2 linked regions of the Schizosaccharomyces pombe genome follow. The gene in region 1 interacts genetically with each later gene. Each region holds a gene or a part of one and is shown on either strand. Other genes may lie near its edges.

Region 1 (3,928 bases):
TGAGAAGTGTAGTAAATAATAAAAGAGGTTTGTGTCATTTATGAAGGTGTTTTTGAGGAAATAATTATTATAAATAATTGTTGTGTTGCATATAAACAGGATTTAAAGGTAAATAAGGGAAGAAAAAAGCTTAGCCAACTTGAGTTGACCCCATAAAAGAAACATATATTATTTATTTATTCGTTAATGTTTTTTAAACACAAAATGTAAACGATTCATTGATATTGAAGAATGTAATAGTAAGAAAAAAATTAATGAAATATTTAGAAAATACAAATCAATTGCAATCTCGTTATTTTTTTCTTGTGTAATAAAAAAAAAAAATTGTGCAGTGAAAATTAAACAAGTTTATTATGACAGTAGAATAAAACACTTATTAACCATCTATCCTACACAAAATGCATTAATTTCTTTCTTTTTAATTTTAGTCAATTATTTACTTTTGAATTCACTTCACATTCTCATTTACTTTTAGCCTTTTGTTTACTCCTTTACCTCCACATGGTTAGATTTCAGGTCAGTCCCCCACTTGGAGCTTTTTCAATACCATGTGGGAAAATCGATTATGGACTTTTAATCCCACCTGTGTATGCCCCCACATGGAACTTTCTATAACTTTCCATGGAAACCGGGGATGGAGCAATATGTTCAAAGAATAATGCTAGAAAGATTGTATGCTGAATCCCACAAGGTACGTGACCCCCACAAAATAATAAGCATACTTCCTATGGTAATAAAATAATAATATAGAGATTTTGCTACTTTCAAGACTTTGTCCCTTTCATGTAAATACAAATTATTTTTTTCACAAGTGCGTCGTAGTGTTAGGAAATAGAATTGAAGAAACATTAGAAACGTCAACTAAGACTGATGTTTATGAATCTCGTTTCTTTTCAACGTACTGTAGAATGTAGAAGAATGTAAACAAATAGATAAACTACCTTCTACTAAATATTTCATTATCTTCATTATCTTATGTAAAAAACGTGGTGCTAGCTTTCCGTTTGATCCAATATTATACTATACAATTGTTTTTATCTTCAACAGGATTCGATTACTTACGGGGAAAAATTAAGGTTAAATGGAAATGTGAATAAAATCATAATATTACTAAAATCCCTTTGCAACTATTTACAAACATCTTTCTGTTGACTTCTCAGTATTTAAATTGTTTTTCTTTTCATTCATCCATAAAAAACATATACATTCTTTAGTATTCTCTTTTTTTCTTCTCTTCCGTGCATACTAGAGTGTTTGCAACCTTCTTTACGAAAGATTCGCTATCAGTAGTTTTCTACTGTTTTCTTTTTTCCATAAATTTCGCTGGGTGGCTGCAAACAGAGAAATTTTCGTTTCCTTAATAACCTGTAGGGTCCGCCTCCTTCTTTGTGAATTGTAAAGAGGCAAACAATAGAAATTGATCGCCTAAACAAATTAAAACAAAAAAATTTAACTGCCGAAGTGCATTTTTATTCAATTTTTTTTTACGTTTTTCTCTGTTTCCCGGCTTTCGCGATATCGTTTGGCATTTGCATTTTTATTTATTTAGTCTTATTTACTGTACAAATTCAATCCTTTATTTTCCTATTGTTTCAAAGGGGAAAGAAATAAAAGGAAAGGAAATTTCTCATCTCTTGATTTTAACTCGATTTTCTATACTCGCAGTTTGAATCTCTGTGTGATTATTTCTTTTCTTTTGATCATTTTATATATTTTGAGCGAAATTTTTACGATTTTCTTACTCAGCACAACAATTACGATTTAAGGGAAATTTTGTTCTCGTATTTTCCTTTGACAACAACACACCAGCTACAAGAACATAAGAACAACACACTTTTCTTTCAACCATTTCCTACCACTTTTCACATTTTGATAATTTGTGAAAGGAAATTTAATAGAAAAGTATTGAAAAGAAACGATTATTTTGTGTTTCTTTCTAGAAAATTGGTGGATTGCTATTTTAGCGATAAAATTTTTTTTAAACTTATCTGAGAAAGTTTTTAAGGGAAATTTTTTTACTTTTTCCTCTTTTCTCACGAATTTGACTTATTGTTGAATCTTTGCTTTATTATAGACTCCATTAAAGTCTCCTCTAATATTTTATCTTCTTAATATTCCAATTTCTTTTTTATTTACCCCCTTTCTTCCACTGTCGTTTTTGTTCTCCTTACATATATTACAAGCATAATGGTGAAAGAAACTAAACTATACGAAGTCTTGAACGTTGATGTCACTGCTTCTCAAGCTGAATTGAAGAAAGCTTACCGCAAGCTTGCTTTAAAATATCATCCCGACAAAAACCCTAATGCCGGCGATAAGTTTAAGGAAATTAGCCGTGCTTATGAAATTCTTGCTGATGAAGAGAAACGTGCTACTTATGATCGTTTTGGTGAAGAAGGTTTACAAGGTGGTGGTGCCGATGGTGGTATGTCTGCTGATGACTTGTTTGCTTCCTTTTTTGGTGGTGGAATGTTTGGTGGTGGTATGCCCCGTGGTCCTCGCAAGGGCAAGGATCTTGTTCATACCATCAAGGTTACTTTGGAGGACCTCTATCGTGGTAAGACTACAAAGCTTGCTTTGCAAAAGAAGGTCATTTGCCCCAAGTGTAGCGGTCGTGGTGGCAAGGAAGGCTCTGTCAAATCTTGTGCCTCTTGTAATGGTAGCGGTGTCAAATTCATTACTCGTGCCATGGGTCCAATGATACAACGTATGCAAATGACCTGTCCTGATTGTAATGGTGCAGGTGAAACCATCCGCGATGAAGACCGTTGCAAAGAATGTGATGGTGCCAAGGTCATTTCTCAACGTAAAATCCTTACCGTACATGTTGAGAAGGGTATGCACAATGGTCAGAAGATTGTATTTAAGGAAGAAGGCGAGCAAGCTCCTGGAATCATTCCCGGTGATGTAATCTTTGTCATTGATCAAAAGGAACATCCTCGTTTCAAGCGCAGTGGTGATCATTTGTTTTATGAGGCTCATGTCGATTTACTCACTGCTTTGGCTGGTGGTCAAATTGTCGTCGAGCACCTGGACGACCGTTGGCTTACTATCCCCATCATCCCCGGAGAGTGCATTCGTCCCAATGAACTCAAAGTTCTTCCTGGTCAAGGTATGCTTTCTCAACGCCATCATCAACCTGGAAACCTTTACATTCGCTTCCATGTCGACTTTCCTGAACCCAACTTCGCTACCCCAGAACAGCTTGCATTGCTTGAAAAGGCTTTACCTCCCCGTAAGATTGAGAGCGCTCCCAAAAATGCTCACACTGAGGAATGTGTTTTGGCAACTGTCGATCCTACTGAGAAGGTTCGCATTGACAATAACGTGGACCCCACTACTGCCACTTCGATGGATGAAGATGAAGATGAAGAAGGTGGACACCCCGGTGTTCAATGTGCTCAACAGTAAACCTGTCTTATTCTGAATTTCTTTTCATTCATTTTTTCAAAATTGACAGCATTTGGATTCGTTATCCTTTTAAGAAGAGCCTAGACAATTATTTGTTTTCAGATGTTCCTAATCTTTTCCTTAGGTTTCGAGTTGCTATTGCATGTATACCTTATTCTCTTGTTCCTTTTTTTCATCCTGTAAACTCATTCCCCTCATTTGGTGTTAGTTTTCTTTTATCTCATAAAGATGTTTGATATCTAGCTTCGGCATATCTAACATACTTGCCTTTGATAGTTATTCTCTCGGTTCTTATCTTGGTCTTTATACTTCGTTAATACGCTGCTTCAATAAATATAATGACTGCAAAAAGTCGATTTATAAATATGAATACATAAATTAGATCTTGCTTGCTTTGTTTGTAAAATTTTAGTATTTGTGAGACAATTACAATTACGGCTTTTGGAAAAAGTAGTAAATAATTTTTGATGCGCTTCTGCACTTTGAATTGTCTGCGAACTAAAATTATGTTTATTCA
Region 2 (3,928 bases), on another chromosome or scaffold:
AAAGCGTTTACAGAGCCATTGGAAACAAGTGTTAGGTCGGTGGGAGGAAAATATTGCTCGGGTTGACAGATTGACTGAAATAGACAAAACTAAGAATGCTAAAAAATCGGAACCGTTTATCAAACGAAGTACACGTAAAGTGATGAGCAACTTTACAGCTGGTGATATAGTTCGTTCCGAAGAAGAGTTTTTGGAGATTTTAGCAAAGCTCGAGCAGCAAGAAAAAGAAGCAAGCAATGTATCTGAGGCCTCTCGAATTGCTACTATTCCTCCTATGATACTTTCAGAAGAAGAAGTGAAAAGTCAATACTTTAATGATCAGAGCCGGTTAGTAACAGATTGTCCTAAATTCTATCACTTTCAAAGTATGCCTGACATATGGAATGAAGAACAGCATTCCATTTTCGTTCAGCAATTTATTTTACATGGAAAAAAATTTGGTAAAATCGCAGAGGCAGTGCCAGGAAAAAACTCTAAAGAATGTGTATTACATTATTATCTGACAAAAAGGACAACTGACTATCGAGCTTTGGTAGCATCTGCAACAAAAACTAAGGGTCGTCGGCGAAAAAAGCTCCTTCCTTCTCAAAGAGGTGGAAAGAAAAAGTCCAAGGGTTCTGCTCTTATGGTTGATATTGAAGCTGCGGATATTAATAAAACGGAAGAGAATATCAATAATCAATTTCAAGAAGCTTCCGTCACTGCTGATAATATGAATACTTGGGATAATACGCCCTCTGTTGAAAATGTTGAATCTGCGAATGAGAATGTTAATAATCACAATGCTGATGAACAAATGGATGAAAAAATAAAGTCTTTGGTTGAAGGGAATAGTGCTTATGAAATTGAAAAAGGAGCTCAAGAGCCTGACCCTATGTCTATTGATATGACCGATAAGAGCGAGACTGTGTCTGGTTTCAAACATGATGTTGACGTTTATGATACAGCTGAAAATGAAGGGAATAACACATTACTGCAAATCAAAGAATCCGTTCATGAGAAAACGCCGACACAGGACGAGCCTATGGATATTAGCCAGGATACCATAAAGCAGGAGGATTACTATGAACCAAAGCTTGAACAACATTCTTCTTCCAAGCGTAACAGTATTTCAACTAGGAAGGAGGAGGATGCAGCTTCGGCTCTAGCGAACCTGTCTGCCGTTGGTCGTTCCATATCCGCCGTTGATGAGTCTGCTCACCAAGGGCACTTGCCTGGTTGGGATGAAAAAGAAGAAGCGTTAATATTTTCGTTGGCCCAAGGTATGAATCCAATGAAAATGCCTCTTACTCCAAGAAGAGCCTCCACTGGTCCTCGGCCACGCCCTACTTTCCAATTGACCGAAATTGATTCTCCAAATCGCCGTCGAGCTAGTGATTGCATTACACCGTCAATATCAAAGATACTGAAAATGGTGTCTGAAGATGCAAAAAGTCAACGCATAGACGAGTTATCAGTCGAGGATCAAGAGCATACAACACATTCATCTCATACGACATCAGACATAAACGCATTTCCGAATAGTCAATCATTTCCACGAGCATCAATTCATACATTAGCAGCATTGGGCGAAGACATTGTTGAACGCCAGTCCAAAAACGATAAAATTGTATGAGTTGTGACGTTTAGTGTTATTTAATGGCGTTATTTACCATTTGTTGTTATATGAAGGGGTTTTGTTTTCTAATTCGCAAATTGGTACCTCCTTACGTGATGCCTTACTCGACTTATCTCGAATTCTACTTTAATCCTTTTTTTTTTTTCTTTTGTATATATTTTCTATTACTTTTAATGTGAGAGTTCTATATGTGTCGGGTTATGATGGTGAGTTTTTATTAAAAAAGTAAAAACTCTATAATAACTTGACTGCCGATCGTTTACGAAATCTATCAAGAGACGAATTTTTTCAATCAATAAATCTTCATGTGAAATCTAGTTATTAGTCTCGGCGACGGAAACGCTTAATTAGTAGCGTTAGTAAGTTAATCTGTAATTGACACATAACAATTTATTCGATTTAATAATTTTTTGCATTTTTTGTTGCATGCAAAACCGACACCAAAAATAAATACCGAGTGGCTAAATGACCTCACTAAACAAATTAGCGATATACCCCGGTGAATGATATATGGTGTATTGTAATCATTCGGTAGTGGATTATTGCAAAATATAACTTGACATCAACCAACGACACCCGCTTCAAATTTCGGTGAGAGCTTGTTAAAGCTACTGAGAAAGTATACATTATTTAAGAATATCTTGATTGAACCTTGTGAAATACGAACTGCATATTCTTCCCTGGTGGTTGAGAAGAAGGTACTGAGAATTCCTTTAAATCAGTAACGGACATATATATTTTTGTTAAATTAACGGCACCCATAATAAATTGATTTTTAATGATTCAGACTGCATCGACAATTTCAAGCAATGGCGGAACGAATCAGGGAATGGAGTCCAGCAGCGCAAATTCACCGGAGATGAATGGGACACAAAATTCGATGTCCGTAGGGATGTCGGGCTCAGGTTCTTCACAAAATAGGAAAATCACACAGTTTAGTAATAAACTGTACAATATGGTGAACGACTCGTCGACAGATTCCTTAATTCGATGGAGCGACCGGGGTGATTCGTTTTTGGTTATAGGGCATGAAGATTTTGCTAAGCTGGTTCTTCCACGGTATTTCAAGCACAATAATTTTTCTAGTTTTGTTCGGCAATTAAACAGTAAGTGTCTTTAAAAAGTGAAGGTGTAACAAAAAGTCGAAGACAAGCTTTTACACAATTAATTTTTTTTATTATGAATGTGTCCCCCTACTTGTCTGCATTTATTCGAAGATATATCGGGCTTTGGAAAACTTTTGGATCAGTAAGCTTAACAACGACTATCTCTTTCGATTGTTCTTCCGTTCCACTTTTCGACGATATGAAAAATATTGCAATACTTCGGAATTATTGATTATTTATCTAATTAGTCTTTGTCAAGCCCTTTTCTATCTTTTCTTGTCCTTCGCATCTCATTTTATTACATTCATTTTTTTTTTTTTTTGGTTTACTAACTTTTTACAGTGTACGGCTTTCATAAAGTCCCTCATATACAGCAAGGTGTTTTACAATCCGATAGTCCCAACGAGCTTCTCGAGTTTGCAAATCCAAACTTTCAACGTGACCAACCTGAATTACTATGCCTAGTAACGCGAAAAAAGGCCGGTAGCCAACCCGTTGAAGAATCAAATACCAGTTTAGACATGTCTACGATATCCTCTGAGCTACAGAATATTCGCATCCAGCAGATGAATTTGTCGAACGAACTCAGTAGGATCCAAGTCGATAACGCAGCTCTTTGGCAGGAAAATATGGAAAATCGCGAGAGACAACGTCGCCATCAAGAGACGATTGATAAGATCCTTCGTTTTCTTGCCAGTGTATATTTGGATGGTAAACAGAAGCCACCTAGCAAAGTTATGCCCAAAAGTCGTCGGCTCTTATTAGAAGCTAAATATCCTACGGTTTCACCTACGAATGAACCGTCTGCGCATTCAAGGCCTTCACCTCAAGGTACTACTGCTAATTCTAGTAGTGCTAGTATCTCCTCTTTACACAATACGACTCCTGATGGAGAGGGCAAATACAGATCCGTTCAAAATGGACGAGCTTTAAATTATGTTTCTTCTTTTAATTCGGATTCGCATTCACCGAAGGATTATATTTCTCAAAGCTATACGAATGAGCCAGGACTTAAAAAGGAATCTGCCGATTCCTTTAACAATTCGATTGACTCATACATTTCTCCCAATCAATCACCTAATACGGATGTACCCTCATTAAATCGAGATGATACCACTGATCCTAAAGTCGTGAACACTGGTGATATTATCAATATGTTAGATGATGCCAATAGTATTGAAGGATCGAATATGAATTCCCTGTC

What was found.
Region 2: of mas5 (region 1) and hsf1, changing one suppresses a phenotype caused by changing the other (phenotypic suppression), as found in Schizosaccharomyces pombe (one study listed by BioGRID).

The regions. Positions count from the first base shown.
Region 1 is NC_003423.3:1,079,532-1,083,459, forward strand, and holds mas5 (DNAJ domain-containing protein Mas5), read left to right. Parts: upstream 1-1,843; 5' UTR 1,844-2,187; coding exon 2,188-3,411; 3' UTR 3,412-3,816; downstream 3,817-3,928. UniProt on the Schizosaccharomyces pombe protein: Probably involved in mitochondrial protein import. Plays a role in microtubule cytoskeleton organization.
Region 2 is NC_003424.3:5,057,079-5,061,006, forward strand, and holds the start of hsf1 (DNA-binding transcription factor Hsf1), read left to right. Parts: upstream 1-2,176; 5' UTR 2,177-2,396; coding exon 2,397-2,724; exon of another isoform or gene 2,725-2,735; intron 2,736-2,880; exon of another isoform or gene 2,881-3,066; coding exon 3,067-3,928. Other genes in the region: Set3 complex SANT/Myb domain subunit Snt1, read left to right, coding at 1-1,615. UniProt on the Schizosaccharomyces pombe protein: DNA-binding protein that specifically binds heat shock promoter elements (HSE) and activates transcription. Also required for growth at normal temperatures.